Arabidopsis thaliana: one gene and its partners. The protein of the gene in region 2 purifies or fractionates together with the protein of the main gene of each other region. This does not show direct contact. Each region holds a gene or a part of one and is shown on either strand. Other genes may lie near its edges. The genes, in order: AT3G18790, AT2G35390, AT5G27120 and FIB1.

What was found.
Region 1: the proteins of AT2G35390 (region 2) and AT3G18790 fractionate together in Arabidopsis thaliana (co-fractionation; one large-scale study listed by BioGRID). This does not show direct contact.
Region 3: the proteins of AT2G35390 (region 2) and AT5G27120 fractionate together in Arabidopsis thaliana (co-fractionation; one large-scale study listed by BioGRID). This does not show direct contact.
Region 4: the proteins of AT2G35390 (region 2) and FIB1 fractionate together in Arabidopsis thaliana (co-fractionation; one large-scale study listed by BioGRID). This does not show direct contact.

Annotation. Positions count from the first base shown.
Region 1 is NC_003074.8:6,473,892-6,481,181, forward strand, and holds AT3G18790 (pre-mRNA-splicing factor ISY1-like protein), read left to right. Parts: upstream 1-3,769; 5' UTR 3,770-3,961; coding exon 3,962-4,864; 3' UTR 4,865-4,868; intron 4,869-5,382; 3' UTR 5,383-5,691; downstream 5,692-7,290. Other genes in the region: ACT2 (actin 2), read left to right, coding at 1,644-2,097, 2,176-2,789, 2,876-2,941; AT3G18800 (uncharacterized protein), read left to right, coding at 5,855-6,448; PERK6 (Protein kinase superfamily protein), read right to left, coding at 6,810-7,100, 7,187-7,290.
Region 2 is NC_003071.7:14,893,785-14,901,820, reverse strand, and holds AT2G35390 (Phosphoribosyltransferase family protein), read left to right. Parts: upstream 1-3,938; 5' UTR 3,939-4,239; coding exon 4,240-4,383; exon of another isoform or gene 4,384-4,713; coding exon 4,714-5,136; intron 5,137-5,247; coding exon 5,248-5,391; intron 5,392-5,485; coding exon 5,486-5,653; intron 5,654-5,738; coding exon 5,739-5,808; intron 5,809-5,927; coding exon 5,928-6,009; coding exon of another isoform or gene 6,010-6,013; exon of another isoform or gene 6,014-6,112; coding exon 6,113-6,293; 3' UTR 6,294-6,567; downstream 6,568-8,036. Other genes in the region: AT2G35430 (Zinc finger C-x8-C-x5-C-x3-H type family protein), read left to right, coding at 1-77, 563-807; AT2G35420 (RING/U-box superfamily protein), read left to right, coding at 1,342-2,106; AT2G35410 (RNA-binding (RRM/RBD/RNP motifs) family protein), read right to left, coding at 2,231-2,380, 2,469-2,771, 2,925-3,023, 3,106-3,480; AT2G35380 (Peroxidase superfamily protein), read right to left, coding at 7,863-8,036.
Region 3 is NC_003076.8:9,538,131-9,546,387, forward strand, and holds AT5G27120 (NOP56-like pre RNA processing ribonucleoprotein), read left to right. Parts: upstream 1-2,730; 5' UTR 2,731-2,849; intron 2,850-3,144; 5' UTR 3,145-3,156; coding exon 3,157-3,234; intron 3,235-3,334; coding exon 3,335-3,376; intron 3,377-3,465; coding exon 3,466-3,645; intron 3,646-3,721; coding exon 3,722-3,886; intron 3,887-4,080; coding exon 4,081-4,281; intron 4,282-4,368; coding exon 4,369-4,866; intron 4,867-4,966; coding exon 4,967-5,101; intron 5,102-5,251; coding exon 5,252-5,554; 3' UTR 5,555-5,935; downstream 5,936-8,257. Other genes in the region: GLR2.1 (glutamate receptor 2.1), read right to left, coding at 1-181; AT5G27110 (Tetratricopeptide repeat (TPR)-like superfamily protein), read right to left, coding at 442-2,517. UniProt on the Arabidopsis thaliana protein: Required for 60S ribosomal subunit biogenesis.
Region 4 is NC_003076.8:21,291,297-21,299,354, forward strand, and holds FIB1 (fibrillarin 1), read left to right. Parts: upstream 1-2,850; 5' UTR 2,851-2,993; coding exon 2,994-3,012; intron 3,013-3,261; coding exon 3,262-3,569; intron 3,570-3,651; coding exon 3,652-3,747; intron 3,748-3,843; coding exon 3,844-3,921; intron 3,922-4,018; coding exon 4,019-4,195; intron 4,196-4,439; exon of another isoform or gene 4,440-4,513; intron 4,514-4,866; coding exon 4,867-4,935; intron 4,936-5,033; coding exon 5,034-5,213; 3' UTR 5,214-5,523; downstream 5,524-8,058. Other genes in the region: AT5G52450 (MATE efflux family protein), read right to left, coding at 211-453; EDA41 (FBD, F-box and Leucine Rich Repeat domains containing protein), read right to left, coding at 1,079-1,398, 1,487-1,625, 1,720-2,160, 2,253-2,462; AT5G52480 (RNI-like superfamily protein), read right to left, coding at 5,622-6,198, 6,318-6,466; AT5G52490 (Fibrillarin family protein), read left to right, coding at 7,561-7,579, 7,816-8,058. UniProt on the Arabidopsis thaliana protein: S-adenosyl-L-methionine-dependent methyltransferase that has the ability to methylate both RNAs and proteins. Involved in pre-rRNA processing.

The DNA of each region.
Region 1 (7,290 bases), on a different chromosome or scaffold from region 2:
CATATCTTTCACTTACATAGCGCATCGCACGATGATGATTTGATCTGATATACGGTCTGATGGTCATATGTTCAGTTTTTAAGCTAACTAGATGAGTTCAAATACATAAAATCATAATATATGCGTATAGTTAAATATATTTCACCATAGAATAGCTAGCTAACTAATACATGGATCGATGCCAAAAGTCCCAAAACTATATAAGTGACGAGGACACCAACAAACTATTCGTCACGTCGACAAAATTTAGAACGAACTTAATTATGATCTCAAATACATTGATACATATCTCATCTAGATCTAGGTTATCATTATGTAAGAAAGTTTTGACGAATATGGCACGACAAAATGGCTAGACTCGATGTAATTGGTATCTCAACTCAACATTATACTTATACCAAACATTAGTTAGACAAAATTTAAACAACTATTTTTTATGTATGCAAGAGTCAGCATATGTATAATTGATTCAGAATCGTTTTGACGAGTTCGGATGTAGTAGTAGCCATTATTTAATGTACATACTAATCGTGAATAGTGAATATGATGAAACATTGTATCTTATTGTATAAATATCCATAAACACATCATGAAAGACACTTTCTTTCACGGTCTGAATTAATTATGATACAATTCTAATAGAAAACGAATTAAATTACGTTGAATTGTATGAAATCTAATTGAACAAGCCAACCACGACGACGACTAACGTTGCCTGGATTGACTCGGTTTAAGTTAACCACTAAAAAAACGGAGCTGTCATGTAACACGCGGATCGAGCAGGTCACAGTCATGAAGCCATCAAAGCAAAAGAACTAATCCAAGGGCTGAGATGATTAATTAGTTTAAAAATTAGTTAACACGAGGGAAAAGGCTGTCTGACAGCCAGGTCACGTTATCTTTACCTGTGGTCGAAATGATTCGTGTCTGTCGATTTTAATTATTTTTTTGAAAGGCCGAAAATAAAGTTGTAAGAGATAAACCCGCCTATATAAATTCATATATTTTCCTCTCCGCTTTGAATTGTCTCGTTGTCCTCCTCACTTTCATCAGCCGTTTTGAATCTCCGGCGACTTGACAGAGAAGAACAAGGAAGAAGACTAAGAGAGAAAGTAAGAGATAATCCAGGAGATTCATTCTCCGTTTTGAATCTTCCTCAATCTCATCTTCTTCCGCTCTTTCTTTCCAAGGTAATAGGAACTTTCTGGATCTACTTTATTTGCTGGATCTCGATCTTGTTTTCTCAATTTCCTTGAGATCTGGAATTCGTTTAATTTGGATCTGTGAACCTCCACTAAATCTTTTGGTTTTACTAGAATCGATCTAAGTTGACCGATCAGTTAGCTCGATTATAGCTACCAGAATTTGGCTTGACCTTGATGGAGAGATCCATGTTCATGTTACCTGGGAAATGATTTGTATATGTGAATTGAAATCTGAACTGTTGAAGTTAGATTGAATCTGAACACTGTCAATGTTAGATTGAATCTGAACACTGTTTAAGGTTAGATGAAGTTTGTGTATAGATTCTTCGAAACTTTAGGATTTGTAGTGTCGTACGTTGAACAGAAAGCTATTTCTGATTCAATCAGGGTTTATTTGACTGTATTGAACTCTTTTTGTGTGTTTGCAGCTCATAAAAAATGGCTGAGGCTGATGATATTCAACCAATCGTGTGTGACAATGGTACCGGTATGGTGAAGGCTGGATTTGCAGGAGATGATGCTCCCAGGGCTGTTTTTCCCAGTGTTGTTGGTAGGCCAAGACATCATGGTGTCATGGTTGGGATGAACCAGAAGGATGCATATGTTGGTGATGAAGCACAATCCAAGAGAGGTATTCTTACCTTGAAGTATCCTATTGAGCATGGTGTTGTTAGCAACTGGGATGATATGGAAAAGATCTGGCATCACACTTTCTACAATGAGCTTCGTATTGCTCCTGAAGAGCACCCTGTTCTTCTTACCGAGGCTCCTCTTAACCCAAAGGCCAACAGAGAGAAGATGACTCAAATCATGTTTGAGACCTTTAACTCTCCCGCTATGTATGTCGCCATCCAAGCTGTTCTCTCCTTGTACGCCAGTGGTCGTACAACCGGTTAGTACATTTTAGGCTTTTTGTTTATACTCATTGATCATTATTTGAACTGAGCTCTGATTATCTTCCATTGAACAGGTATTGTGCTGGATTCTGGTGATGGTGTGTCTCACACTGTGCCAATCTACGAGGGTTTCTCTCTTCCTCATGCCATCCTCCGTCTTGACCTTGCTGGACGTGACCTTACTGATTACCTCATGAAGATCCTTACAGAGAGAGGTTACATGTTCACCACAACAGCAGAGCGGGAAATTGTAAGAGACATCAAGGAGAAGCTCTCCTTTGTTGCTGTTGACTACGAGCAGGAGATGGAAACCTCAAAGACCAGCTCTTCCATCGAGAAGAACTATGAATTACCCGATGGGCAAGTCATCACGATTGGTGCTGAGAGATTCAGATGCCCAGAAGTCTTGTTCCAGCCCTCGTTTGTGGGAATGGAAGCTGCTGGAATCCACGAGACAACCTATAACTCAATCATGAAGTGTGATGTGGATATCAGGAAGGATCTGTACGGTAACATTGTGCTCAGTGGTGGAACCACTATGTTCTCAGGTATCGCTGACCGTATGAGCAAAGAAATCACAGCACTTGCACCAAGCAGCATGAAGATTAAGGTCGTTGCACCACCTGAAAGGAAGTACAGTGTCTGGATCGGTGGTTCCATTCTTGCTTCCCTCAGCACATTCCAGCAGGTAAAAATTGATCAGATTTTGTTTCGAATTCTCTTACATGCAAATTGAAATCAAAGGCTGATTATTTATGTATATGTTGGTTACAGATGTGGATCTCCAAGGCCGAGTATGATGAGGCAGGTCCAGGAATCGTTCACAGAAAATGTTTCTAAGCTCTCAAGATCAAAGGCTTAAAAAGCTGGGGTTTTATGAATGGGATCAAAGTTTCTTTTTTTCTTTTATATTTGCTTCTCCATTTGTTTGTTTCATTTCCCTTTTTGTTTTCGTTTCTATGATGCACTTGTGTGTGACAAACTCTCTGGGTTTTTACTTACGTCTGCGTTTCAAAAAAAAAAACCGCTTTCGTTTTGCGTTTTAGTCCCATTGTTTTGTAGCTCTGAGTGATCGAATTGATGCCTCTTTATTCCTTTTGTTCCCTATAATTTCTTTCAAAACTCAGAAGAAAAACCTTGAAACTCTTTGCAATGTTAATATAAGTATTGTATAAGATTTTTATTGATTTGGTTATTAGTCTTACTTTTGCTACCTCCATCTTCACTTGGAACTGATATTCTGAATAGTTAAAGCGTTACATGTCTTCCATTCACAAATGAACTTAAACTAGCACAAAGTCAGATATTTTAAGATCGCACCATTTTATATAACCCCAATCGTCAATTCTACTGTTTCAAGTTTTACACCAAAACAATTACGAGGTGTATCTATTCGTTACTCTTTTCGCTTATTAATCCTTTTACATGATGCAAAATATAACAAATTAATTTCAAATTGTCCTGCACATTTGGTTTATACATCTTGATTCCAAAAAGTCAACTCGTTGAAGAATTAATCAATACTCGAAACGAGTCTTCCTTGGGCCCTAAAATATTGTCCTATCTAGTTGATGCTTATATAGCATATATGGGCTAATAAATTGGGCCTTAGCTTTGGAAAAGGACGTAGAACTTGAAACAATTTTTATTTTTCTTTTTCCGGCGAAACAATTATCTAATTACCAATTTAACCCCAATCCTTTCTCAGTTTCTCTCTTCCGCGTCTCTCCTTCTCGTTATCCTGCAAATTAGGGTTTAAGTAAGAAAAAAAAGCTAGAGAAGTATCTCGATCTCTTCTTCTGTTAGATTCTGCTTTCCTTTGAGATTTGCTAGTGTAATCGTAACCTCCGAAGACCCAAGATGGCTCGTAATGAAGAGAAAGCACAGTCGATGCTCAACAGATTCATCACCCAGAAAGAATCTGAGAAGAAGAAGCCAAAAGAGCGTCGACCTTACCTCGCATCAGAATGTAGAGATCTAGCTGAAGCAGACAAATGGAGACAGCAAATTTTGAGAGAGATCGGTAGCAAAGTAGCTGAGATTCAGAACGAAGGATTAGGAGAGCACAGACTTCGAGATCTAAACGATGAGATTAACAAGCTTCTCAGGGAGAGATATCATTGGGAGCGGCGAATCGTTGAGCTAGGTGGTCACAATTACTCGAAACATTCGGCGAAGATGACGGATCTAGAAGGTAACATAATCGATGTACCTAACCCTAGTGGTCGTGGTCCTGGTTATCGTTACTTCGGAGCTGCTAAGAAACTTCCTGGTGTTAGAGAGCTTTTTGAGAAGCCTCCTGAGCTGAGGAAGCGTAAAACTAGGTATGATATATATAAAAGGATTGATGCTAGCTATTATGGGTATAGAGATGATGAAGATGGTATTTTGGAGAAGTTGGAGAGGAAATCTGAAGGAGGGATGAGGAAAAGATCGGTGGAGGAGTGGCGGAGATTAGATGAGGTTAGGAAGGAAGCTAGGAAAGGTGCTAGTGAGGTTGTGAGTGTTGGAGCTGCAGCTGCTGCGGCGAGGGAAGTGTTGTTTGAGGAGGAGGAGGATGTTGTTGAGGAGGAGAGGATGGAGAGGGAGAAAGAGGAGGAGAAAGAGAGGGAATTTGTGGTTCATGTTCCGTTGCCTGATGAGAAGGAGATTGAGAAGATGGTGTTGGAGAAGAAGAAGATGGATCTGCTTAGTAAGTATGCTAGTGAAGATTTGGTTGAGCAGCAGACTGAGGCTAAATCCATGCTCAATATTCATAGATAGAAAGGTGATCATCTCTTCTTGTAAGGCTTTTTAATCATATCATAGTATAATTTTATTGTCTGTAGTTTCTTTTGCAGTTTTTGATCAGAAAATTGACTGAACTGCTGTGTGTTTTAAGAAATTTCGATTAGAGGAATTCTAAAAATTTGTTGATGTTTCTTATATTATTACATCCTAGATTATGATCTTAGAGAATTTGCTAGATCTTGATTTATATTTCCTTAGTAGTCCTGGTCTGTTTGAGAGTATGATAAGGCTTCTGTCGAGTAATGTCATAAAGCGCGATCAATCTATAACAACAACGTACATTCTTGCTTCATTAATCAAGAGTTTCACTGACCTGAGTAATTGACCTAGTACCCTTGTATGTGGAGCTTAGATTTGCAGAAACTGTTATTTCAATGGGACATACTTTAGTTAGTGCCTTAGTGGCATGCATTAGGATGCGAAGGAATTCGTATTATATCTTCTCTTGAATTGAATCTGAGAGGCTGATACATCATCTCTATGCTTCTCAGATGCTCTGTTTTACCAACAAACTCAGCCGCGATGGTCTCTTGCCTAAAGAAGAAACGATGTTGGGCGTTTGAAATATGATTTCATGGAAACAAATGTGAAAGACTCAAGGAGAAGATACAATGTCACTTGGAACTGAACTAGTGTATTCTATTATGTAGCTCGACTTTTGTATCTTTATACTTCTGAATGTAATGCTCATTGCCTGAGGTTTATACATTGTTCCTTTGGCTCTAACTAGATTGGTGCTATGCAGAGACATAAGTTGAGACCAACCACAAGCATTTTTCTGGTTTTGATTTTACTCCCAGTAAAATATTTATTGAGTACGGACAAAACATCAAAAATCAGAACAAGACCGTTGAGATGGATAATACTTGTCTAGAGATACGAACCACACCCACATGTTCCTACACACAATCCCCAAACCATCTCTCTAACCAATAACACTTTTTCTCTCTTCTCAGTCCTTCAATGGCGGACTACGACGACGAAATTGACCAGAATAACCAACCTTTCATCCCCAAAGAAACTGCTCTACAAGCACTAAACTCAATAATCCAGCTCCACTTCGAGAAAACCTTAGAGAAGAAACGAGCCATTGACCACCAGAAGAAGAAGCTCCACAAGCTATTTCAGCTCTTCTTCATCTTCCTCGCCGTAATCTTCTTCTCCCTCTCTCAACCCTCAGGTCGTCTTCACTGCCGCCATTGCTGGGCACCCATCTGCCTCCTATCCTTCTCTCACCTCTTCTTCTACGTCTCCGTCGCTCAAACTCTCCGTTGCATCAACGGCTTCAAGTACCAGCGTCGCTGCCATAAGCTCACTCTCGGTCTCGCCACTCACAAGCTCCGTTTCATCAAGTCAAGAATCGCTGCCGGAGATTTCCTCGGTGGAGGCGACGGTGATGAGGCCTCTGCTGCTGCTTGGGATCTGGAAGTTCCGTATCAAGAACCACCTGATAGCTACTTTGGCAAGTTTAAGAGAAATTGGGCTCTCTATTTTGGGTTCTTGATCCTTCTTTACACTTTCATGATCTCTTTCTCTGTCGTTATCCTCTGTTTCTGAGATCTCTAGAGTGGCATTTTCGTAAATTTTGCAAAACCCATCTGTTTCTTATTATTCATTAGTCCTCAGCTTTAGAATGATCAAGAAGATTGAAATAAAACAAAGTTAGAATCTTTGACATTTGATTCAATCTGGTTACTGAAGCCCTAGTCAATTACTTGATTGAGAGATGGGATTAAGACAGACAATTAGCATTAATAAATCAATTAATCACAATCAAAAGTTTTGAATTTTTTTTCACAGACACAAACACAAATCCAACGGTGACAAAAAGAATAAAAGAGTTGAAAAAAAAAATTCATAGGGGAAACAAAACACAAAAACACAGCAAGGAAGATTGTTTTGAAACTAACAAGCTAAATCAATGGTCTCGGCTAGGAGTGGTTTTGTTGTTGTTAGCTCCTCCTCTACGAATCTCCTCGCTGCTCGAGGAAGACGGGTCAAGCCCGTATTCGCTCGTGTTCCCGTACTCGCTGCTTGCACCGTACTCATGACTATCCAATGCCACTTTCCTGAACTTCTTCATATCCGCACTGTAAGTGCTTGAGTCATAGTCCGAGCTTGAACCCCTCCCGAGGAATGAGCTTTGTCCCGCTTTCCCTCCTTCGCTTAGATCGTCTAGCGTTGCATCTCCCTCCAGAGCCCGAACAATCTGTTTTAACATTGGACCATAGTGATCATTCTCTTGGTGTAAAGTATATGTTTAAAAGAGTGGTCATGTTCAAAAGTAAAACTTGCCTGGCTCATCTTAGGCCTGCGTCTAGCTGAGTGCCTGACGGCTGCAGCGGCACAAGCAACCATTTGTGCCATCTCATGAGGCTCGTATTGGTTTTCGAGACGTG
Region 2 (8,036 bases):
AAGGATTTGCAATAAGTGGCAGACTACTGGCTATTGTCCTTTTGGTTCTCACTGCCATTTTGCTCATGGACCTTCAGGTAAAGCTACGGCCTTTTTCATCTATTAGTAACCCCAACGAATGTAGTTTAGAAATGGGTTTTAATCGGTGTTGCTTGATGAACTGTGAGTTTAGAGTGTCACTAGAGGTTAATGGATGCTAATTCTCTGGACTAAGAGATCATCTTTGAACACTAGAACTATCTTTATTAGCTTAAGTTAAGTCTGTTGAATTGTATATGTAATGGTATTGGTTTCCTTGAGGATTCTTTATATGGACTGTGGGTGCCAATTAGTTAATCGTGCTTGGTGAATGGATTGGTGACAATGTCTATTAATGGACTTAAAGTGGATCGAGTGAGATTGTTGAAATGTTTCCTATTGCTACATTGCCATTACGTGATGATGTCAATTGGTTTCTGATTGGAAAGAATTCTTGATCTGCTTGTTCCTAATGGCTATGGAAATGCAGAAAGTTTCAATCGTCGCTAGCTAAAAGTTTGAGTCTTTATGGTATCTTTTGCAGAGTTGCATACATTTGGCGGAGGACTCGTTGAAGGAGAATGTAAGATCGGAACATCCGCCACTTTGGACACAAAGCAGAGAGGACAAGTAGACACAGTGACTAGCCTTGTTTCTCCTGGAGTCTCATCCCAACGGACATCTAGTGCTGTTACGCAGAAACCCAACGGAGTCAGAACTCAACGGAAATGGAAAGGACCAGATAAAATCAGTCGTGTTTATGGTGATTGGATCGACGATATTGAGTAAAGTCACTGCATTTTCACTGATTTGTTGATCAAGGTATAGCTTCTTTTAGACTTGTAACTGTGTGGACATATTAGCTTCCTCCCTTCTGTGGTTGTAGATTGTGACTCACTCAACAAAGACAAAAACTCTCATCTTTTTGTTTATTCTCTTTGTCAATCCTAAATCTAATCTTGCAGAAGATCAAACCGAACTAAATAATGTTGCGTACTTGTAAACCGGATCATCATTGCTACCTAAACCTTTTTCTTTATTTCCATGGTCAATATTAATTTTTCGTTTTGAGTTATTTTTAACAGTAAAATGATTTATTATTAAGACAACGATTTTAACTGTCACAAAAGACTCGCTCAAAATGGTAAGCAAAGCCACTTCTGTCTCTCAGACATAGCCACTTTATTCTCCTCATTTCTCTCTATTAACTTGAACAATAATACTCCTTTTCTCACAAGGATTTGTAAGAACAACCTTTCTTATATCCCAAGCAATCTACGAAACTGGTAGAATCTGGGGGTTTCTCTAATCATCAACCTTCAAATGTCGTCAACAACATCAATAGATTCAATACCAGCTACTGCTGTTTTCCCTAGTGTTTCCATGCCTGTCACCGTAGTTTTGACCGGTGTTCTTCTCTTTGTAATTTTCGCCGGATTCTTCTCTCTTTTCTTATGGCAGTTTCTTCTGAATCGATTATTTACTACTTGGAACCTTCAACGAACACCTTACGGTGACCTAATCCATGTGGCCACTCCGCCTGAAAATACTGGCCTCGACCCGTTTATCATCCGGTCCTTTCCTGTATTCCACTATTCATCTGCAACTAAGAAAAATCATGGGACGGAATGCGCTATTTGCTTGTCAGAGTTTTCAGATGAAGATACAGTTAGGCTCATAACGGTTTGTCGTCATCCCTTTCATTCAAATTGCATTGATCTTTGGTTTGAGTTACACAAGACTTGTCCTGTTTGCCGGTGTGAGTTAGATCCTGGCATGATTGGATCTGGAAGGCTTGAATCATTCCACAACACAGTCACAATTACTATTCAGGACATAAACCATGATGAGGAAAATCCTCCAACCGCTGGTTCAAGCAAAAGGCTAATAGAAGCCTCGGCTTGGCGATTCTCGAGGTCACATTCTACTGGACATTTCATGGTTAAGACTACGGATGCTAATGTGAAGTCCAAAAGAAGGCATTACCAAACAGGAAGCTGTGTCTCGTTCGACGAACTTACTCGGTATGAAGGAGCAGGATGGCAATGGCTTGGTGATTCATCACACATTAGCAGGATTGAAGTATAGTTTACTGAATTTCTGTTACATCTTCATTATTGTGTTCTTTGTAGCAGTAGTTATTTCAAAACTGTAATAAGATCTCTAGTCAGATTCTCATGCTCCTATCGGATAACAGAGAAAATAATAAGAGTCACTCCACAATGTTTTCTTCGGAAGTGTTTTTGTCTTCTACAGTGTCTCCATCTTCAGAAGCGTTGTTAGCTTCTACACTGTCACCATCTTCAGATTCACTGGCGCTTCTCAGACTAAACTTTAGAGTGATAGGTCTACCCATTATCTCCTATAGAAAAACCAAATTGTAATGAAACACTTTACATGCTCAAGGCTAAAGGAGCAAACTTTATATTAATATGCTTGGAACTTCATACCTTCCCATTGAGTTTTGTGATTGCATTCTCAGCTTCTTCTCTAGTAGCAAATGAGACAAAGCCATAGCCAGAAGATCTACCTTCGGGGTCAGCGAAAACAACCCGAGCTGAGACCGGGTTGAAATCTGCAGCAGTGAAAAGCTCTCGGAGATGTGTTGATCTTGCTTTCCAAGCGAGATTAGATACGTAGAGTTTGTGACGAGTGTCTCCAGGGGCAGGAGAAGGAAGATCGTTCGGTGATTTCGGAGTAGGCTTCTTGAACCTTCTTGCAAAGCTTACGCTAATGATCCTCCCTGACACTTGCTGAAAACAAAGAAGATAGAAGCTTAAACATCAAACCTTAGCTAACAACTCAACACAATGTATGATTTAGTAGTTTGAACTATCTACCTAAAAGGCTTTGAAATTAAACAAACAACACTCAATCAGAAAAGAATCTAAGGGATTTGAGCTTACAAAAGTATCGAACTTATCAATAGCTGCTTGAGCTTCTTCTCCAGAAGCCATAGTTACAAAAGCAAATCCTCGGTTCTTTCCATCTTTTTGCCTTATAATCTAGGAAAAGTTTATAAATTGAGGTAAGGCAATTGCTAGTAATAACATAAAGATTGAAACGAAATTGAGAAAGAAGAAAGACCTCGACATTGTTCACAGTCCCACATTGTCCAAAGAGCTCGGAAATGTCATTTACACTCATAGACCAAGGAAGATTGAATACAAAAAGCTTCCTTTTCAGATTTGAATTCTGGGTTTCTTCAGTCTTCTCCTCCTGCGACGTTTCTTCATCCGCCGATGTTTCTTTCTCCGCGACGGAACAGAGTACGGAGACGAGCCGCCGTGAGTTATCGCTGCCGGAACGTAGAGAGAAGACGGGAGAGAGATTGCTGGGAATTCGAAGACTAAGGGCAGTAAGTTTTAAGGAAGAAGAGCGTTTAGAAAAGAGATAAGGTTTTGAAGAGGAAGAAGAAGAAGAGAAGGAGAAAATGGAGAGAGAAGCTTCCAAAACCGCCATTGTTAGCTTTGGCACTAGAGAAATGGATTAGACCGAGACAAAAGGATAAAACTTTTTGGGCCGGTTTGGTTATTCGGAAAAAAATGAATTGTGAACCGGGTCTACCAACTTCGGTTTTTGAAGGTAAATGGCACGAGGAACTTAACCGTATATCATGTATTTTTTTTGGTATACCAATAAATTCCAATCCCTCCACATTGCAGTCAAATGGAAGAACAAAAAAGTGATGAATCTCATGATTTTTCTCTTTGAAGTCAAAACTCGAATTTGACTAAAACTGAATTTGATTGGTGTATATTCTATAACAATGTAAATACAAAAGTTTAAATTTCAATATTCTAAATAAATAAGTTAGTAAATTTTTTTTGAGTTTTGAGACATTTGGTGAAATACAAAATGAAGAGACCAAGATTTCAATCAATCCCAAAAAGTTAATTAATCCTAAGAAAAGTCCAGCCAGACGTCTCCAATCCATCAAACGATGTCGTTTAGTAACAACTTGTAGTCTTGTACACACCAACCAAACCATTTCCTATTTATTTTTCACAAAACGAAAAAAAAAAAAATCCAAATTCGAGAAAGAAGAGTCCAACACAAACTCGGAGACGAAGAAGAAGGAGAGAAGAAAACCATTAAGCCATTCCTTCTTCCGTATCACTCTGTCACCTTCAAAATCCTAAACCATAATTTTTCCGAATTCGTTGTGGAAGAGACTGCTTGAGTGAGTCAGAGGTGGGTTTACGTGAGGTATTGCTGACAATGGCGTCTCTGGGTCTATCCTTTCCTCCCGCCGCAAAAACGCCGACGTATCTAGCCTCTTCGTCTTCAACTTTCTTCTCTAACTCTTCTCTATCCGTCAGAACCTCTCAGTTTCGCTCCCGAAACTCTGTCTTCGCTTGTGTTGTAAGCGGTGTTCATGAATCTATAGAATTGCTTATTCTGCATTTTTGAATGTTGATCCTTCCTTTCTTATTACGTTTCCGGATTTGAGGTTCCTAGATTGAGTGGACCCTAATAGCCATCTTGTCAAGTTTGTAGTTCTGAGATTTTTATTGGCGCATGAGCTGAAAAGCTCGTCTCTTTCGTTTGAATATTGTTTGTTTATGCGAATATAGCTACATAAAGGTTGTCTCTTTCTTCAGAATACATTTGTTTGAAACTATCCAGGAACAGAAATTGAGACCTATATGATTATATGAATCTCTGATTGAGTCTTGTTGTTGTTGTTGCTAGAAATGTGATATGCCGGAGTCATTGAATGTGGGAAACGGGAATCCAAGTATCCCAATTATTAATGAGAGGACACTTCCAAAGTTCTTGGAATCTGCTCGTATGGAGAAATCAGTCAATAGAACCAATACAAGGTTGAAGTTGTTCTCTGGTACTGCAAATCCAGCACTTGCTCAGGAAATTGCTTGGTATATGGGCTTGGATCTTGGCAAGGTTAATATTAAGAGGTTTGCTGATGGAGAGATCTATGTTCAGCTACAAGAGAGCGTTAGGGGATGTGACGTCTATTTGGTGCAGCCTACTTGCACTCCCACTAATGAGAATCTCATGGAGCTTTTGATTATGGTAGATGCTTGCCGAAGAGCATCAGCTAAGAAAGTTACAGCTGTGATTCCGTATTTTGGATATGCAAGAGCTGACAGGAAGGTAAAGTCTCTTTGTGTGGTTTAGCTACTTTCACATGATATGGAGGGTTTGTTGATAACTTAGCTATTGGTAATCTTTTCTGGATAAAATTGTATGTTTTGCTGCTTGCAGACACAAGGGCGTGAATCCATTGCTGCCAAATTGGTTGCAAATCTTATCACTGAAGCTGGTGCAGATCGAGTTCTTGCTTGTGATCTTCATTCAGGACAGTCGATGGGTTATTTTGACATTCCAGTCGACCATGTGTACTGCCAGGTTCACCTCTAAAGCCACGTTCTTGATACCCCTCTTTATGCATTGTGTGTATGCTCCTTTGTGTATAATACCTTTATCTGCTTAATTGTTTCAGCCGGTGATACTTGATTATCTTGCTAGCAAGTCAATTCCCTCAGAGGATTTGGTAGTGGTTTCTCCTGATGTTGGTGGAGTAGCCAGGGCCCGCGCTTTTGCAAAGAAATTATCAGATGCACCACTTGCCATTGTCGATAAAAGGCGTTCTGGACACAATGTTGCTGAGGTATCCCTTTCTTTCAGAGTCAGAGTTTGCTCACCAACACCGCTTGCTTCCCCTTAAGTTCACATTTGTTATACTTTCCTTTCAGGTCATGAACCTAATTGGTGATGTAAGAGGGAAGGTGGCAATAATGGTGGATGATATGATTGATACTGCTGGTTAGTAAAACGGCATGGAGTTGTCATTTTACCGACAAACCAAGTTTCCTATCTCTCTCTATTCCCCATCAACTTCTCCTTTTCCAGGCTGAATCATCTATGAACCATTCTTGTTTCAGGAACCATTGTAAAAGGAGCAGCTTTGTTACACCAGGAAGGTGCTCGGGAGGTATATGCGTGCTGCACACACGCTGTTTTCAGGTAAACCACTAACCTATATTTTGTTTGTTCCTGAACAGTCTCAAAATCACTACTTCCTGAAGCATTATTTGTTTTCTTTGTTTCAAACAAATCAATATGGAAGCCCGCCAGCGATAGAGCGATTATCAGGGGGTTTGCTGCAAGAAGTGATAGTGACAAACACATTACCTGTAGCAGAGAAGAATTACTTCCCGCAGTTAACAATATTATCAGTGGCTAATCTCCTGGGTGAGACCATTTGGCGTGTGCATGATGATAGTTCCGTCAGTAGCATTTTCCTTTGACCTTTCTCATTGCAACCAACAATTTGAACGATTCTTGGTTTGTTAGTCGGTTTAGAAAGTTTATCCCGGTTCATGTTCTAACCGGAAAGCTTCAACAAAATTTGCTTGCATTGTCTTTTGATACAGCTTAGGTTTTTCTTATTTGCTCCACATCTCAAAATTATGGATGCACAAATGGTGTTGAACCGATTTTTTATTATGGTGTACACAAGTTTTTAACTTAATATATAGAACATCTTGTATCGTATCTACATTTAACATGGTGCAAATTGGCTCAAAAATCTTGTTGACAATTTGATAATGGGTTTCATAATCAGACAAATCTATGTATTGGATTGTACAGTCCACGGCCAACCAAAAAAATAAAAAAAGCCCAAAAGAATAGGTTGAGTCATAATTAGGGCTTCTATTTGACTAGTGTCAACTAGTATATATAGAAGACTCACATTGGAATCACAAGACAAGTCTATTGTTTTGTGTTCCGCCTCAATTAGTTCTTAGGGTTTTGTCATCTGTGATTTTGTTTGGCTCTGTTTTTCGATTTGTGCATAGAAATTTATTTAAATAGAAGAGCTGTGAGGAAAAAATCGTGTGCCAGAGATGGTTAATCCATCGCTGACGGTAATACACAACCCTCTAAGAAGTTCTGAGCTTTTCTAGATCTTAATCTCTTCCTCAATTCATGTTTTTTTTGGATTTTTGTAAAAACTCTTTTAAGGACTTTTATGAGTCGAGGTGACGATAGAAATTCACAGGTCTGTCAATCCACTGATATATGTGATGTAATTGTGTTCTCGACAGGTTCTGATCGACTCTACAATAAAAATCCTTAAAATCTTGTTTTCAATTTTAATATTTCGTTTTTGTATCCTTAAAAAAATCGTTTTCTTTTGAATCTGAGTATAGGATGAATCTCATATATTGATGTTATTTACTACTGAAATTACATTGATGTTTTATTCACCTTGGAGAACTGATACTCAGATTCATAGTCTCTTTTATGTTTTTGTACAATTCGAATGTCTTGTCGATTTTAAGGATTTGGTTTTTGATTCTCTTTGTTTTCTACTGGGCATATGATGAAATTATATTTCATGGGTAATTTGCGTCTGATTCTATGTGATGCTAACTTTTATGATTATCTGATGCCCAGAAAATATACCGAATGTTTTTTTTTGTTTTTTTACTAGTTGTGCATAATGGAAATCACTTGACTAATTAATTTGACTTGTTCACAGTTCTATTCACTTTAAATGCAAAAACAATTCTCAAAGGTTTTCTACTGATGCCTTGAAATATTTGGATATTTTACTTCGGAACAAAACAGAGTCCTTCAATAATTGGAGTTATCAATTGTCAGCTTAGATGACAAGCTGAGATTATTTTGACAATTCACTTGCCTTAAGCAGAAACAATTCCAACAAACAGACCTGTATCATACTTAATTGGACATTGTTATAATGGAGAAAATAATGGAACTTATCGAAGTTGTAATGAGTTTTGTGAAGTTGATGCCTTATTGGAAGACCAAAAGAAGTGCAAACAATTTGTATTGATTGATGTTTGATTTCAGATATTGACAAATCTACAATTCTCCCTAATTTCACCTTCAATACCTGTAAGAACATTAATATTACCCATTTTTAACATAGATTCCACAAAATCTATGAAGAAAAGATCTTGATTAACTGCATATTCCCAAACTTTCTGAAAGATCTCTCCTTCATGATCTTCTGAGACCAG
Region 3 (8,257 bases), on a different chromosome or scaffold from region 2:
AGTAGAAATCAGAAAGAGACATGTTGATACAGAGCAAAGTCATGTTGGAGTAAGCCGTTCCGATATCATTCACGATTCCCACATTTACATTGGTTATCCTATTTTGTGCTTCTCCGACCTGCATCAGGAAGACGATTACAAAGAAGAGTAAGCTGAGAACGAGGTTGTTTTCTCTCTTCATTTTATTCTTCTTCTACTTAGCCGAAAAAGAATGAAACTTGGTGGTCTATATGTATGCTCTTTGGTGTGGCATGAGACCCTTTGGTAATTGGAGAAGTCGTGATATTGTTAATTACGAACTTGTTGAATTTATTCCAAAGTATATAATATTTAAGGCAGCAACTTGTTTTTTTTTACATATTCTAATTTAACCAACAATTAAAGTCAACCGTTGCAAAGGAGGAGACTTCGTCTCATGCATAATTAACAATAACATAAGAATCATTGACCGGATTCCATGTGACCACTCAAAAGAGCAAGACACTCATAAACGTTCTCAGCTCGTAAATGAGACCTGTCCTCAGCAAAGAAATGGCACACTTTGTCACTCATCTCAATCCAACTGCAGCCCGGTTTCTTCCTCAATCCCATTTCTTTCATTTTTAATCTGACTCGTCTTGCTGCATCCCATGACTCACCAGAAGCATACAAATTGAACAAGACCATGTAGGTTGATGCATCATCTGGATAATTCTCAACAAGCAATCTTGCGATTCTATCTCCCAATGAATGTTCCAGGTGCAAGCAACAAGCAGAGAAGAGAGTACTGAGAAGCTCTGCATTGTCACTTGTCTCTGGTGTTTGTTGAATAATTTCATAAGCTTCAAGCAACCGACCTGCTCGGCCAAGAATGTCAATCATGCACGAGTAATGTTCAATAATAGGCTCGATTCCGTACTTTGATCTCATTTGACTGAAAAATTTGAGACCCTCATCAATTAGCCCAGCATGACCACAAGCTGACAATACAGCAAGAAGAGTAACCCCATCAGGTTTTAGACCAAACTTCTGCATTTCATCAAACTGGTAAAGTGCTTCTCTGGGTTGACCATGAGATCCATACGCAGAGATCATTACCGTCCATGATACAACATCCTTCTTTGGTATACTGTTGAAAATCCTAAAAGCCTCTTTTTCATTGCCGCATTTAGAATACATGTCAAGAAGCGCACTCAAAAGCAACTCGTCTGTTTCGAGCCTGCTCTCACTAATGGACAAATGAATCTGTTTGCCTTTCTCTAACGCAGCCAGTTGCGAACAAGCAGGTAAAACACTTGTGAAAGTTACCACGTCTGGCTTCACTCCAACACTCACCATTTGGTCATACACTTCAACAGCCTTAAACCAATTACCTACACTGATATAACTAGAAATCATGACATTCCATGACTCAGCAACGTCCTTCTGTGTCTTTGAAAAGACGGTTTCAGCCAAATTTGCTTCACCACACTTGAAGTATAGATCAATCAAGGAACAGTTCACATAGATATCTGCATTTACAACGCTTCTAATCACATAACCGTGTATAAATTTTCCATGTAGGAGATTCCGTGAGCGAGAGCAAGCCATCAAAATGCTGGTCAAGGTTGTCTGACTCGGTCGAGTTCCTTCTATGATCATTCTATTCAAAATCTCAACACATGACTTACTGTCTCCTTTAGCGACATAACCTTTGATCATAGAATTCCAAGCAACCAAACTCTTTCTAGGCATTTTCTGAAAAACCTCCCTAGCCACCTCCAAGCAGTCACATTTCCCATACATATCAACAAGGGCAGAGTTTACATACTCATCTAACTCAAACCCTTTCTTCACACATTTTCTATGTATCTCCTTCCCTCTCTCCAACCACAACAGCCTTGAACACGCCGATATAGCCACCGTCAACGAAACTGAATTTGGTTCAAAGCCAGAACTTTCCATTCTTCCAAACAACTCCAAAGCCTTCTCTGCCTCTCCACTTTGATAAAAACACGAAATAACCGTGTTCCAAGATGCTACATCTCTCTCAGGCATTTCATCGAACACTTGTAGTGAATTCTCAAACAAGTTAAACTTTGCATACATACCAACCAAAGAACTCGCCACAACCACATCACAAACATACCCACTCTTCACCACAAGAGTATGAATCATCCTACCAAGAAACTCTCTACCCAACGCACCATAAGCCTTAATCACATTCGGAAAAGTAAACGAATCAGGGACACAAATTGAGCAATTCAACAACCTCTTGAAAACCTCAAGAGTGTCATGAAACATTGAGTTCTTTGAATAACCAGACATTAAAGAGTTCCATATGTAAACATCCGATCGTATATCGAAGTTCTCGAAGACGTGTCTCGCTGAGCAATGGTCTTTACAAGTAAAGTAGACATTGATGAGACTTTTGCATAAAACTACGTCTCTTCGTAACCCCAACGTGAGTATTCTCTGATGCACAAGCTTGATTCTTCTTAGAGACTTGGTGCTATTGGTACACTCTCGCAATAAAGACAACAACTTTGAAGATTCCATTTCAAGTTCACATTTTTTTTTGTCGTGAGAGATTGAAATGTGATCAGTCGCTGCTTTAGCTAAATTATAAAGGAAAGACATGATTCAAACTACGACGTCGTTTATACTAATGGGCCAAACTTAATTAGGCCCAAAATGATTTATTTTTCTAAATTAGCGATGCGTTTTAAAACCCTAGGTTACAAAAACGCGCCGTTAGCAATAAAAACGCAGCGTTTTGAGAATCTCTGAACCTTCTTCAACAACTATAAAAACCATCTTAAACCCTAGCAGAATCGCGGCTCCTGATTTTAGCTCTCTCTAAAGCTGTAGTTGTGCGTTAACCCTCTAAGGTACTGAATCTCTCTCGCCCTCTCTTTCTTCGTTGTTATGGCAAATAAGCTTCCAAAATTCTAAGACTTTGACAAAGTATAGTTCTGTTCTTTGTCGGATTTTCAAGAATTTGAACAGAGTATCTGCCTTAACTATTATTCTGATTTGTAAACTTCGAAACAGGGAAAAAGTTTTACCTTGAATATTGTTTCGTACTAGCTTAATGGCTTTAGCTCGTAAAACACTAACTTGCAAGTTTGGTGACTTTGAGTTGATTCAAGGGTTTCTCTTAATCTTGTTTTTTCTTCTTTTCAGGAGCTTGTAAAAATGCTAATACTGTTTGAGACGCCAGGTGGTTTTGCCATCTTCAAAGTATTAAACGAAGGAAAGCTCTCTAATGTTGAGGTTACTAACTAAATCATTCTCCTTTGTTCATTTATCTTAACCTTGTTTCTGTGTGTGGTTTGGTTTTTTAATTCTAAGTATGTCAAATTTGTGATTGTAGGATTTGGGTAATGAGTTCTCGACCGCAAAGTTAGCCCGAAAGGTGATTTATTTTGTTCTAGACATAGTTCAAATTTTGTATCTGGCTAATAATATTTGTTTCTCATAGCAATTTTTGGTGTGTTGTTACAGATGGTGAAGCTAGTAGCTTTTGACAAGTTTGACAACACAGCTGAAGCTCTTGAAGCAGTGGCTAAATTGCTTGAGGGAACTCCAAGCAAGGGTCTACGCAAGTTTTTGAAAGCTAACTGTGTTGGTGAAACATTAGCTGTTGCTGATTCTAAGCTTGGAAATATCATCAAGGAGAAACTGGTGTGTATTTTGTTCCGATACGCTCTTTTATTTCTGAGTAAGGGTTGTTTCTTACGGTTTTGCTTCACTCGTGTAGAAAATAGTCTGTGTTCACAACAATGCTGTTATGGAGCTGTTAAGAGGTATCAGAAGCCAGCTAACTGAACTTATATCTGGATTGGGTGATCAAGATCTAGGTCCAATGAGCTTGGGGTTGTCTCACAGCCTTGCCAGATATAAACTAAAGTTCAGTTCCGACAAGGTAGTCATTTGATTTGTATTGGTTTTTGGTTCTCTGAATTATTTGTTGAGTTAGCCAACTTTTGATAAATTATGGAACTTTTGGTATCCCTTTTTTTACTCTTCCAACATTAGGTCTGAATTGCAATTGAGTTTGTCTATATATCCTGTGTTTGTTTGACCCTTATGTTACTTCACCTTGTACTTGTATGTTAGGTGGATACCATGATAATCCAAGCTATTGGTCTGCTTGATGATCTTGACAAAGAGCTTAACACTTACGCTATGAGGGTTCGTGAATGGTTTGGTTGGCATTTTCCTGAGCTTGCTAAGATCGTACAGGACAATATCTTATATGCCAAGGCTGTTAAACTAATGGGGAATCGGATTAATGCTGCAAAGCTAGACTTCTCTGAGGTAAAGGCCTGTTTGAGTATTTGACTTCCTTGTGCTTAACACTAGTTTTTTTTTTTTTGAAACATTGTTTCTGTGTCCTCCTCTCAGATATTGGCTGATGAAATTGAAGCAGAACTGAAAGAGGCTGCTGTGATATCTATGGGAACTGAAGTCAGTGACCTTGATTTATTGCACATCCGAGAACTCTGTGACCAGGTTCTTTCTCTTGCCGAGTACAGAGCTCAGCTTTATGACTACTTGAAGAGCAGAATGAACACAATTGCACCAAATCTAACTGCCCTTGTCGGGGAGCTAGTCGGTGCTCGCTTAATATCTCACGGTGGTAGTTTGTTGAACCTCGCAAAGCAACCTGGAAGCACGGTTCAGATTCTTGGAGCTGAAAAAGCCTTATTTAGAGCCCTTAAGACCAAACACGCTACTCCAAAGTATGGTTTAATTTTCCATGCATCTGTTGTTGGCCAAGCTGCACCGAAGAACAAGGGTAAAATTTCACGGTCACTAGCTGCAAAATCTGTTCTTGCTATCCGTTGTGATGCTCTTGGTGACTCCCAAGACAACACTATGGGAGTTGAAAACCGTTTAAAGGTATCCTTCAATTTTTTTTTTTCCGATCTTCCTCTCGATCTGATCTAAAAATACTCTACCTTGATTGATGTTTACCATGCGGGCTATTTTCTTCTGACAGCTTGAAGCACGGTTGAGAACTCTCGAAGGAAAAGATTTAGGACGTCTATCTGGCTCAGCTAAAGGCAAACCAAAGATTGAAGTATATGACAAAGATAAAAAGAAAGGATCCGGAGGTCTGATCACTCCTGCTAAGGTCAGATTATTCCTCTGCTAGTTTGTTTCTTCAACTTTCTTTTGTAATTATGAATTCTGGATTTGTGCAATTGTGTTTTGGATATATTACCTGTAATGTTGCTTAAAGGATTAAGCTGTTTGTTGTTGTTGTTGTTGTTGTATTCTGCAGACATACAACACTGCTGCAGACTCTCTTCTTCAAACTCCCACAGTGGATTCAGAGAACGGTGTGAAAGAGAAGAAAGACAAAAAGAAGAAGAAGAAGGCTGATGATGAGGAAGAAGCCAAAACTGAGGAGCCCTCAAAGAAGAAATCGAATAAGAAGAAGACAGAAGCAGAACCTGAAACCGCCGAAGAGCCTGCAAAGAAGGAGAAGAAGAAGAAGAGAAAACACGAGGAAGAGGAAACTGAAATGCCTGCTAAGAAGAAGGAAAAGAGTGAGAAGAAGAAGAAGAAGAAAACTGAGGTCTGAAGAGACCTTTAATATTTTTGCGTGGTCTAGTTTACTTTGTTATCAGAAACAAAGAAAATCTTTTGTGGCGTTAGGTGTTAAGTAAGGTTTTTGTTTTGTTTGAAACTTAAAAAAAAGAACTACTCTTCGTTTTGTAAGGTTATAATATGTTTGGTTTAGTCCTTATCCCAGAAACTTGCATTTTGCCAAACGAGTCAAGACCTTACCGTTAAATCCTTCTAATCTTAGTATAACGTAATTACTCATAGTTGATTAGTTCATAAATTTGTAAAGATCAGTCCGAAGAGTCGACATTTTTCATCAAGTGTATCATTGACATTTTAAAAAACCTTGTACAAAATGAATATTTGTGAGTCTAAAAAGTACCTTAATAGTCAATTGGAAATGGATTGGGTTGAGCATAAGGCAAATCATACCAGACCTTAGAAATTTCAAAAGATAAATAAAATCTAGAGTCTACCTACTTTGTGTGTGTATATATTTTTATTGTGCTATAAATTTTGTGATGAATATGAATCAAAATTCTTTCTGAATATTTCGTGATAATGGTTCCGTCAATATCAAAATTTACTACTGAACATATATGTTTTAAAATATTTAACTGGATTTTAATTCATAAAGTTTTTTTTATTTTTAATTAAATTTAGTTGCCGTGGAAAAAGTTTAATCTATAGTGTTTTATGTAATCATTGTAGGTAATGTTCAAAAAATCTGCCTAGACACCTATCGAACTGGATTTTAATTTATAAAGTCTTTTTATTTGTAAGTAAACTAGTAGGCAGCCCGTGCCTTGCACGCAAAACAACAATACCAATAATATATTTCGTGTCTTTGAAATTTGCAACAATTACACAAATGACGAATATCACAACCTCACAAAATACAATGTGTATCACACATTGCTCTATAACTCTCAATAAAAGTCCTATTCAACTTTACTCAAATTGTAAAATAATATATGTGTTAAAATTAAGAAAACTTTTATTGGAAACAGCAAATAATCTTACATAAATACACTAACTTATCTCATAGATATATAGAAAAAAATATATATATATATACAGAGCCGTTTTTTCTTCTCAAAAAACTTAACAATAATAATGATGGAGAAATGAATTACCTTCTAACCAAAACGCTTTTCTAAACTTGAACATATAAGATGGTTTCACATTTAAATTATTTTGCACACTACACCGTGGAAGAAGATGTCATGTCATGCCACCCATCTCTCAATTTGGTTATCTTCTTCTTCTTCTTCTTCTTTTTCTGAATTGAAAGCCCCAAAACATTTGCATCCATTTTGTTTCTATATGATTCTCGCAAACTCATGTGGTCATTTTGTAGCAGCGGGTGTGCATGGAAAATGTAAGAAGATAAGACCAAGTAAAACGCAACAAAACGGCCAAAGGTTTATTGATATTCATACCAGCGATTGGGTGGACCAAACTCAGTGAGTCGTGAGGGGTTAACAGCGTCCATCACATTAGGTATCACAAAAGTCTCAACTTTCATTATTTACGTCATTCTTTCGTTTCTCTGGTAGACGTATTTAGATGAAAGAATGGAGGATCTAAGATTATGAGAAAGGAAAGAAGAAGAAGAATTTAAACCTGTTTTTATCTTCTTGAGAATGGCTTATACGGTTGCTCTTGAGATCGTAAATTAACTGGCAGAGGGTTTGAAAGATGGGAGAGAAAGTAAAGAATCTTAATAACGTGGAAGAAGTAGTTGCTGAAAAAGTGGTTAAAAAAATTTAAATTTATCTTTTGTCAAAAAAGAATATTCTATTGAATAGTAAAAGGAAGTGAATTGGTTTACGATTGTGGAAGTGCAAAATTTTAGACTTAAAGCATACGTGTCAAAATGAGAAGCTTACAGTTTTTTTAAAAGTGACTGTTGATTTAGTATTATTAGATTTAGTTGCCGCGAAAAAGTTTAATATATAGTGTTTTATGTACTTATTATAGGTAATGTTCAAAAAAATAGCCTAGACATCTATCGAACGTCTAGCTACCGTACAACGATTTTTTGAACATTGATTATAGGTAACTAAATCTACATATACATTTTTGCCGCCATTTTGTGAAATAAATCTTAGAGTTGGAACTTATTTATAATGGCTGCCACTAGCTTTTAATTATTGTTTTTTTTGCAATAAATTAATTAACAAGCAAAAAAAATTCCAAATATATTCTAATCCCATATATCACGCAGATTTCTCCAAAATTGAACTAAATTTCGGTAACTATTTAAAACAAAAAATGTTTGACAAACCAAAATACAATTGCAATCCCTTAAAATGAGCAAAATGCACCTAAATACATTTCTTATCAATTCACTAAATCTAATTTCTCCAAAATTTGAATTAGATTTCGACAAATATTTTTAAAAAAATTTGTTTGACAAACTAAAATACAATTGCAATCCCGTAAAATATTTATTTTAATTATATATTTAAATTAACGGTGTACCACTGGGTTTTTTTACGGGACGAGTTTGGCGGAACGGGTTTGAAAGAACGTTACTTAATAACAATTGTAAACTATAAAATATTTTTATTTTATAGATAGATATAATTTGCAAACTTTTATATATACTGATTTAAAAAAATAAATTATTTCTACGGTATAACGCGGGTTAAAATCTAATATTTAGATAATTTTGAATATCCAATATATATGTTTAATTGTTTATAGTAGTAAT
Region 4 (8,058 bases), on a different chromosome or scaffold from region 2:
AGGTTTGCATATATGTATAGGAAAAAAATCAAAAAAAATGATATTAATTACCAAATCAAGTTTCACATTCAGACATTTATTCCTAATATCCTAAATTTGGAAGATTTTTTTTTGGTAAATTAAATTAAAGATTAAGATACATGGTTAAGAATAAATTGATATGGGAATATGTAATTTGTAGAAAGACAGAGAGAGTGAGGAAAAACTGACGAGGAAGCTGAAACCGGTGACGGAGGCGAAAGAGGTGGCGATGGATGCGGCGGAGAGAGGAAGAGAGCCAAGATGGCCAACGAACATGACGGAGATAACTTGTAGACAAAACTGAAGAAGACTCACGGCGATGAGTGGGCCTGAAAGCCATAGCTGCTTCTTCACTTCTTCCTTGACACTACTTTTCTCTCCGATCAAAGGCCATGACAAATCACCCTCTCCTCTTTCTCTGTCGTCCCTCATTTTTTTTTGAGAAATAGCAAAGCTATGACAAAGTATCTTCCTATCTTTAAGGGCTTTGTGTTTGGTCCGGTCTCTCTCTTCTCTCTCGCTTTGTCCCTATTGATGTGTGATTTGTGGTGTGTAGGGATTAGTACTTTTTTATTTTGTCAACTTTATAAATAGAGTGAATCATTACTTGGCTAATAATGAAAAATCAAATGGATTTTATTCCTTTTAAAATATTTATTGGCAGTCGCATACAAGAGCGGGTTGAATCCAGAAAACATTGGCAAATCTATTATTAATAAAATTTAAAAATATAGGAATTTGATAAAATTTCGTTTTATTCGGTTCGGTTTTCTTTGTAACACTAAAATTGCAAAAAAAAACTATCATTTCAATTTTATAAAAAAAATTTCAGGTTTGTGTTCTATAACTTCAAAGGTAAAATCTAAAATTGTCGAAGTTGGTATGTAGTATTCAATTCCCTCATAAATTTGTATTTTTCTTCCAGATTCTCGATGGGCCCGGCAATGGTAAAATGTTATGCATCAAAGAAACAATGTGTCCAATATGTTCAAAGAAGTTAGAATATGTTCCCATATAGATGTGGTTTTGCACCAAATGGTAAGAGAATATACATTCTTCATTTAAACACAAGCGTAGACGTTGTTGAAACTCTAGGCATAGACTTTAAGACCGTTTCTATCACCTCTCTCTCTTCAAGATGGAAGGTTGATATCTCTCTCTTCAAGATTGAAGATTGAAAATGTTCCCATATAGATGTGACTGTCACTTTCTTTAAACACTTTGCATTAGCAAAAATGTATCTTATGAGCTGTGTCTCTTCTTCGTTTCCTCTATATCCATGCCACACAAACTCCTCATCTAAATGAGCCGACAAGCATCTGGGAACAGTACCTTGGTTGGTACCATGACAATGGGAGATTTCCGGGTCGATATCCACTTACCTGGATGCAAGTACATAAAAATCTATGAGGTGGAATCAAAGAATCAGTTTATACAACAAGGAGATTGCGTTGTTACTTGTTACTTACAGAAGTGATAGCAAGAAATCTTAGTTTAGGAGAGTTGTTGAGAATTAGTGGAATTATATCCAACCAGAGATGGCCATGTGGACATATCACTAATTTTCCAAGTCGAGTGAAGGTAAAGCCACGAAAATCCAGAGCCTTCAATGACTAAATCAAAAGCCAATATAAATCAATGTGATCAAACCTAACAGCCAAGAAGAAAAAAAACAATAATAATAAAAAGGATAGATACCATTGGATCTTCCAAAGGTAACACAAGATACGTGACCAAGGAAATAGCTTTGAGAAACTTGTCATCAGTATGACATACAACGTCGATATGTGGCTTTTCAAGGCGAAGCTTATGCACCTTCGCGAAACGGTAGTCCCGGTTATCACTGATGGCGAGGCCCACTTTCGATCGGGCAAGAACTGAGCAACTTGATATAAGCCTCTCTAGAGAATTTTCATCTTTGAACACCACATAAAAAAGGCGTAATATGTTGAGTGACGGGAGGCAAACCGAAGAAGGAACATCCACTATAATCTTGTCCGAAAGAGTCAATTCCACAAGTGTTTTGCATGTGTAAAGACTCTTAGGCAAGCTGGTAGGCTCTGCCGTCCAGTGGAGCTCTAACTCTAGCTTGCGCACAAAGCGATCAACTGCATTTGCAACTAATTTCCCAACATCTACCTCAATAGAAAATTTTTACCGAGTTGGATGCACAAAGTTTCTAGAAAAGGTGCCTTGTGAAGTTCCAATAACTTTTCAAGAAACTTCCACACGCTTTCGCATTCATCACCAGGATCACTGTACTCGAGTTTAGGCAACAACGTCCAGACATAACGCCATCGTTTTGACAATATCATTGTCCCAACTGCATCTTTGATCGGTACAAGCAACAAAATCTGGATAAGCAAATCGTCGGGCAACGAACTGATCTCGTCTCTAGAAGCAACAACCTCTTCATCAATTCTTTGACAACGTTCGGCCATTAGTGATGTAATAGCTAGCTGAGTTTGTGATAAAGATTTCAAATATAGGTAAGCAGAGACGAGGAGGAGCAAGTCGAACCCTAAAAACTTTAGATGATCGAGAACCTTAGATATATTCGTAATTTCTCTATGAGAAATTGAGAATAAGTGAATAACTAACTCTTCTTGTCTCACAAAAATAAAACCCTAACTTATCTTTTCCGTGAGACATAAACAAACCCACTTTGGGCCAATAAAATCGGCCCATTATTATCTTGACCCAATCCGGATCAAACCCAACTCCATACTTTGGAGTTTGGACCCATCGTTACCAATGTAGTAGACTAATGTAGTTAAGATATATATAATAGAAGGGCCTATTTATAAAATACAAGAAATGTTACCAAAGCATAAACCCTAAAAGCCCTAAAATCTTAATATATAAACCAACTCACAGAGACTCTAAAATCAGCCACCACCGCACATCTCTCTCCTTTGCCCTCGTTTTTTTTCGGTTCTCGTCTTTCGTTCTTCACTTTTAGACAAGCAAATATGAGACCCCCAGTTACAGGTAAGAACCTTAGTTAAAGTTTATGTCTTTCTTGTTCTGTCTGCCTCTAGAGTATAACCCTGTCCGTATCAAATCTGAATTCGTATCATTACGGTTTCTGTAGTTTGAATTGGTAGTTAGGGTTTTAATTCATGAGCCTTTTGTATCTTCACTGTTTCAATAAAGTTCAAAGATAAAAGTAGAGATTTTTAATAACACTCTGTTCTTCCGTTTAGTTAATTTTCTGTATGTTGGTATTGTTATAATCAGGAGGACGTGGTGGTGGAGGATTCAGAGGTGGAAGAGATGGTGGTGGAAGAGGTTTTGGAGGTGGAAGAAGCTTTGGAGGAGGCCGTAGTGGTGACAGAGGCCGTAGTGGGCCTCGCGGCAGAGGACGTGGTGCGCCTCGTGGTCGTGGAGGACCACCTCGTGGAGGAATGAAAGGAGGAAGCAAAGTGATTGTTGAGCCTCACAGACATGCGGGAGTGTTTATTGCTAAGGGTAAAGAAGATGCTCTTGTCACTAAGAATTTGGTTCCTGGTGAAGCTGTTTACAATGAGAAGAGAATCTCTGTTCAGGTATGAAGTTTGAGGATTGTTTTCTTTATAATTAAATTGAGTTTGTTTTTGTTCTTATATTATAGCTACTTCACTTTTGCAGAATGAAGATGGAACTAAGGTTGAATACAGAGTTTGGAATCCGTTTAGATCTAAGTTAGCTGCTGCAATTCTTGGTGGTGTCGACAACATTTGGATCGTAAGTCCATCTATACACATACCACATTGACTCTGTTTTCTTTTTTTGTATTGAAAGACATGTGCTTGAATTGGTTCTTTGTTAAAACTTTTGTAGAAACCTGGTGCCAAAGTTCTTTACTTGGGTGCTGCTTCTGGGACCACTGTCTCTCATGTTTCTGACCTCGTTGGCCCTGTAAGTCTTTCACTAAATTATTATTTTAGTTATCCGTAGGTCCATTTCTATCCTATGTTTGAGACTTATCTTTGTTCTATTGCTTTATGATTTGTAGGAGGGATGTGTTTATGCTGTTGAGTTTTCTCATAGAAGTGGTAGAGATTTGGTGAACATGGCCAAGAAGAGAACTAACGTTATTCCAATCATTGAAGATGCTAGACATCCGGCTAAGTACAGAATGCTCGTGGGCATGGTTGATGTCATATTCTCTGATGTTGCTCAGCCAGATCAGGTTTGGTTCTATATTTCTTACTATGAAAGTTTGAAGTTACCCTTTCTACAGTTTTATTCACAAAGGTTACGTCATATTGCATTGCATCTTTTGCTTTTAAAATATCAGTTCATTGAAATCGGCATATGATGACATTTCATTTACTATGAAATGTTTGAAGCCTTTTTATTTTACAGTTATATCTTCAAAGTTTTTTTTTATTGCATTGCATCTTTTGCTTTTAAAAAAATCAGTACAATGAAATCGGCAGATGATGATTTTACTTGGATTCCCCTTCAGAACATTTATGGGTGTTGCAAACTCCAAGCTTCTGATGCTACTTTGTATCTTTTTACTAAAATTTTTTACTTTGAACATGCAAATCTGTTTTAATCTCAAAGTTTTTATTTGTCTTCATTTGGTATATCTTATCGATTTGGAAGAAGTCTTTTCGGTTTCTTCTGGTTTTCAACAATTGCATTTTCAAGTCATTTAGAAGTTTTACTTTATTACTAAACTTGGAGACTCAATTGTTGTAGCAATATTGCTGAGCTAGCAGAGATTGCTCCAAGAAATCTGCAATGATTCCATAAATGTTTCTATGTTTATGTTAATGTCTCTCTTTATTCTCATTTTGGTTCTCTGTTTATGTTTTATTTAATTGAATCCATCTATTTGCCTAACTCTTGAAGGCAAGAATCTTGGCCCTGAATGCCTCATTTTTCCTCAAAACTGGTGGACACTTTGTTATCTCAATCAAGGTCAGTGCTCTTATCCTTAATCAAATTCAACAATGTTCTCCTCTGTTATTATTCAATTTGTATTTCCGTCGCTAAATAAACATGTCTCATCTGTTCAGGCCAACTGTATCGACTCTACAGTTGCAGCAGAAGCAGTCTTCCAGAGCGAGGTGAAGAAGCTGCAACAAGAGCAGTTTAAGCCAGCAGAACAGGTGACTCTCGAGCCGTTTGAGCGTGACCATGCCTGTGTTGTTGGTGGTTACCGCATGCCGAAGAAACAAAAGACCCCAGCCTCATAGAGGAACTGTGGACAGTAGTGCCTGTGTATTAAGACTTATTTACTGGGTTTTGTTTTTATCTCCTTGCTTGTTGTATTAAGCTAGAGATGGATAATGCTTTTATGTCTCATTTGGAAAATTTTATCCTCGTTTTAGAACTAATATATATTGATGCAACATTTTCGTCCAATGATTGTATCTCCATCAGTCTTTTCTATGCTTGTTTTTGCTTGGCTATAAGAACTACTGTCCATTTTAATCCTACTTGTTTCTGCATGCTGAATTGATTGTTGAAGTAGTTTGTTTTGAACATGATTATGCTCAAGAAAAGGCGTAAAAGTATCACTTAGCTCTGAAAGGAACTCATTTTTTTTTGGTTAATAAAATTTTAAACACAAACAAACCGACTAAGTGTTATTGACATAAGTCTCAATACAGTTTCAAGTAATATTCGGCTTCTTCCACTATTGGATCAAAGTTATAGGCGCCTTCTTCCATCGGTAGCGCATTTTTAAGTATTGCCAATTGGCGTGACCAATGAAAATAGTAAGTTTCAAAAGAAAACGGGTAATCAGCAGAGGTAGAATCATTGTGGCGTCTCAAATCTTTAATTTTCTCAAAACAACGCTTCTCTAGATTCCCGACAAGGTTGATACATTGGCGTAAATCGAGGTGTTCCAGGTGAGGACAACCGTCAAGAATGGCGTTTAAGCCTGTTTTGGTTAGTTTGTTCCCACAAAGCTGGAGATGGCGTAGTTTAGGCATGCTTTCTGCAATTGCTATGGCATCATGATCATCATCATCCGAACTTAAGTAAAAGAGGCGGTTTAGCATCAATGTCTTCAGATTTGGACAAGACAGCCCTGCAAGTTTCATAGACTCTCCTGACAATGATATTCCTGAAACCTCAAGCTCTTCAAGCATTGGAAGTTTCACAACTGCTTGAACAAATCCATCGTCTGTTATTTCTGAGCACATTAGTCTAAGGCTTCTAAGATTACTTGACCTACAAGTAATGGTGTGTAAAAAGTTATAAATCATAATCTTGAGATATCTGTTTTTAACAGACACTTGAAGACTTACATGAAAAGTAATCAAAAGTCAAAACTAGAATTAGAGGAGAACCTCTCCGCGATGTATGTAAGGAGAGAATCACTCCCGAAGTCCCCAATGTTGATCTCCAGCAAGCCACCCTCGCTACGATCAACGGCGTTACGACATATCGCCTCAGGATTGTTCACCAGTACTGGTTTGTTGTAACTCAAGATTCGCATGTCGATTTTACGCCATATGGATGGGTCTTTACAAACATATCGTCACGATCTACACACTTTCTGAGCGTTCTCCAGTATCTCAGTCACGCTAAGACGTAGCAGAATCAAACACATCAAATCCGTCGGAAGATCCGCCCAGTTTTTTGGCTCTTCGTTTTTCATCAGTGAAGACAGCGGATCCATTTCTGATGAGGATCAAAATGTCAAATCTGTGAAATATATATATCAGAAAGTCATTTAGTTTTAGGCCTTCTTTGATTATTTGTAGATTCTAAGTAGTTTTTGGTTTTAGTTTTAGGCCTTGAATGGTAGTAGATTCTAAAATGGTTTCTAGTTTGCATAAAAAAGTTTCCTGAAAAGCTAAGAAATCTAAATTTTTAATTTTTTATTAATTAATGAAAAGCAAAAAAAAAAAATCTATTTATGCAAACTAGACACCATTTTAGAATTTACAATCATTCAAGGCCTTAATTGTTTATTAACTAATGAAAAAAAAATCAATTTTATGAGTTTTTTGTCCAACTTCGTGTGATTTTTTTTCCTCTTCTTGTTTTGTTTAAACTAATGATTGTTTTGGACTTTAAAGTCAGAAGGCATCTCTGATTACTTGATCTGCAATATAAAGTTATAACAATAAGATGCAAAATTTTACAATCTAGTCCTTATGGCACTAAGTTTACGAAAACAATTCATGTCTAATAAGCCCATTACCTGAATTAATTATTGGGCCTTAAGCTCCTAATATTCTGACCTTTTGTATTTCAAAATCATGTATTCCTTGCATAACAAGAAATCTGATGGTGGTGATTCGATAAAAAGAGTTCGATAGGATCTGAAATCTTCCTACAAGAAGTAAACTGTTTAACAGAATTTGTTAAATGTAATAAATAAAAACTTTTCCATATTTATCGGAAAAATAAATGGAACCTTTCCAGCTTTCCTATACCAACTCCAAATTCCAATAGATAAACATTCTTAAACCCTAGCAGGGGCTCGATAAAAACTAAAAAATAAAAAAACCAAACACGAAAGCTGCAAACATCGATTAACATCAACCTTCTCTTTGTTGCTTTCGCTCTCGCTCTATAGCAAAGATGAAACCTCCCCAAAGAGGTTAGAACCCTAGCAGCCGTTTTGTTTTACTACTTGTTTAATTTCTCTGTTCGACCTATAGTATAGGGTTGAGGGTTGTTAACTCCAAATTCGTTTTGTCACAATATATCTACCTGAATTGCTTGTTACGTAAACTGTTTTGAGTCTTCACTTCTTCAATCCAAGTTTAATAGGAGATTTAATAATACTCTCTTCTGATTAGTTAATTTCGGTTTTATCTGTATGATTATGCTCAGGACGTGGTGGTGGTGTTAGAGGTGGAAGAGGTTTAGCCAGAGGCGGTGAAGGAAGTGCCGTAAGAGGCAGTGGAAGAGGCGGCGAAAGTGGCCGTGGAAGAGGGCCTGGAAGAGTTAAAAGTGAATCGGACGGTGGAATTAAGGGAGGAAGCAAAGTGTTAGTGACACCACACAGGCACGCAGGAGTGTTTGTTGCCAAAAGTAAAGCAGATGCTCTTGTAACCAAGAACTTAGTTCCTGGTG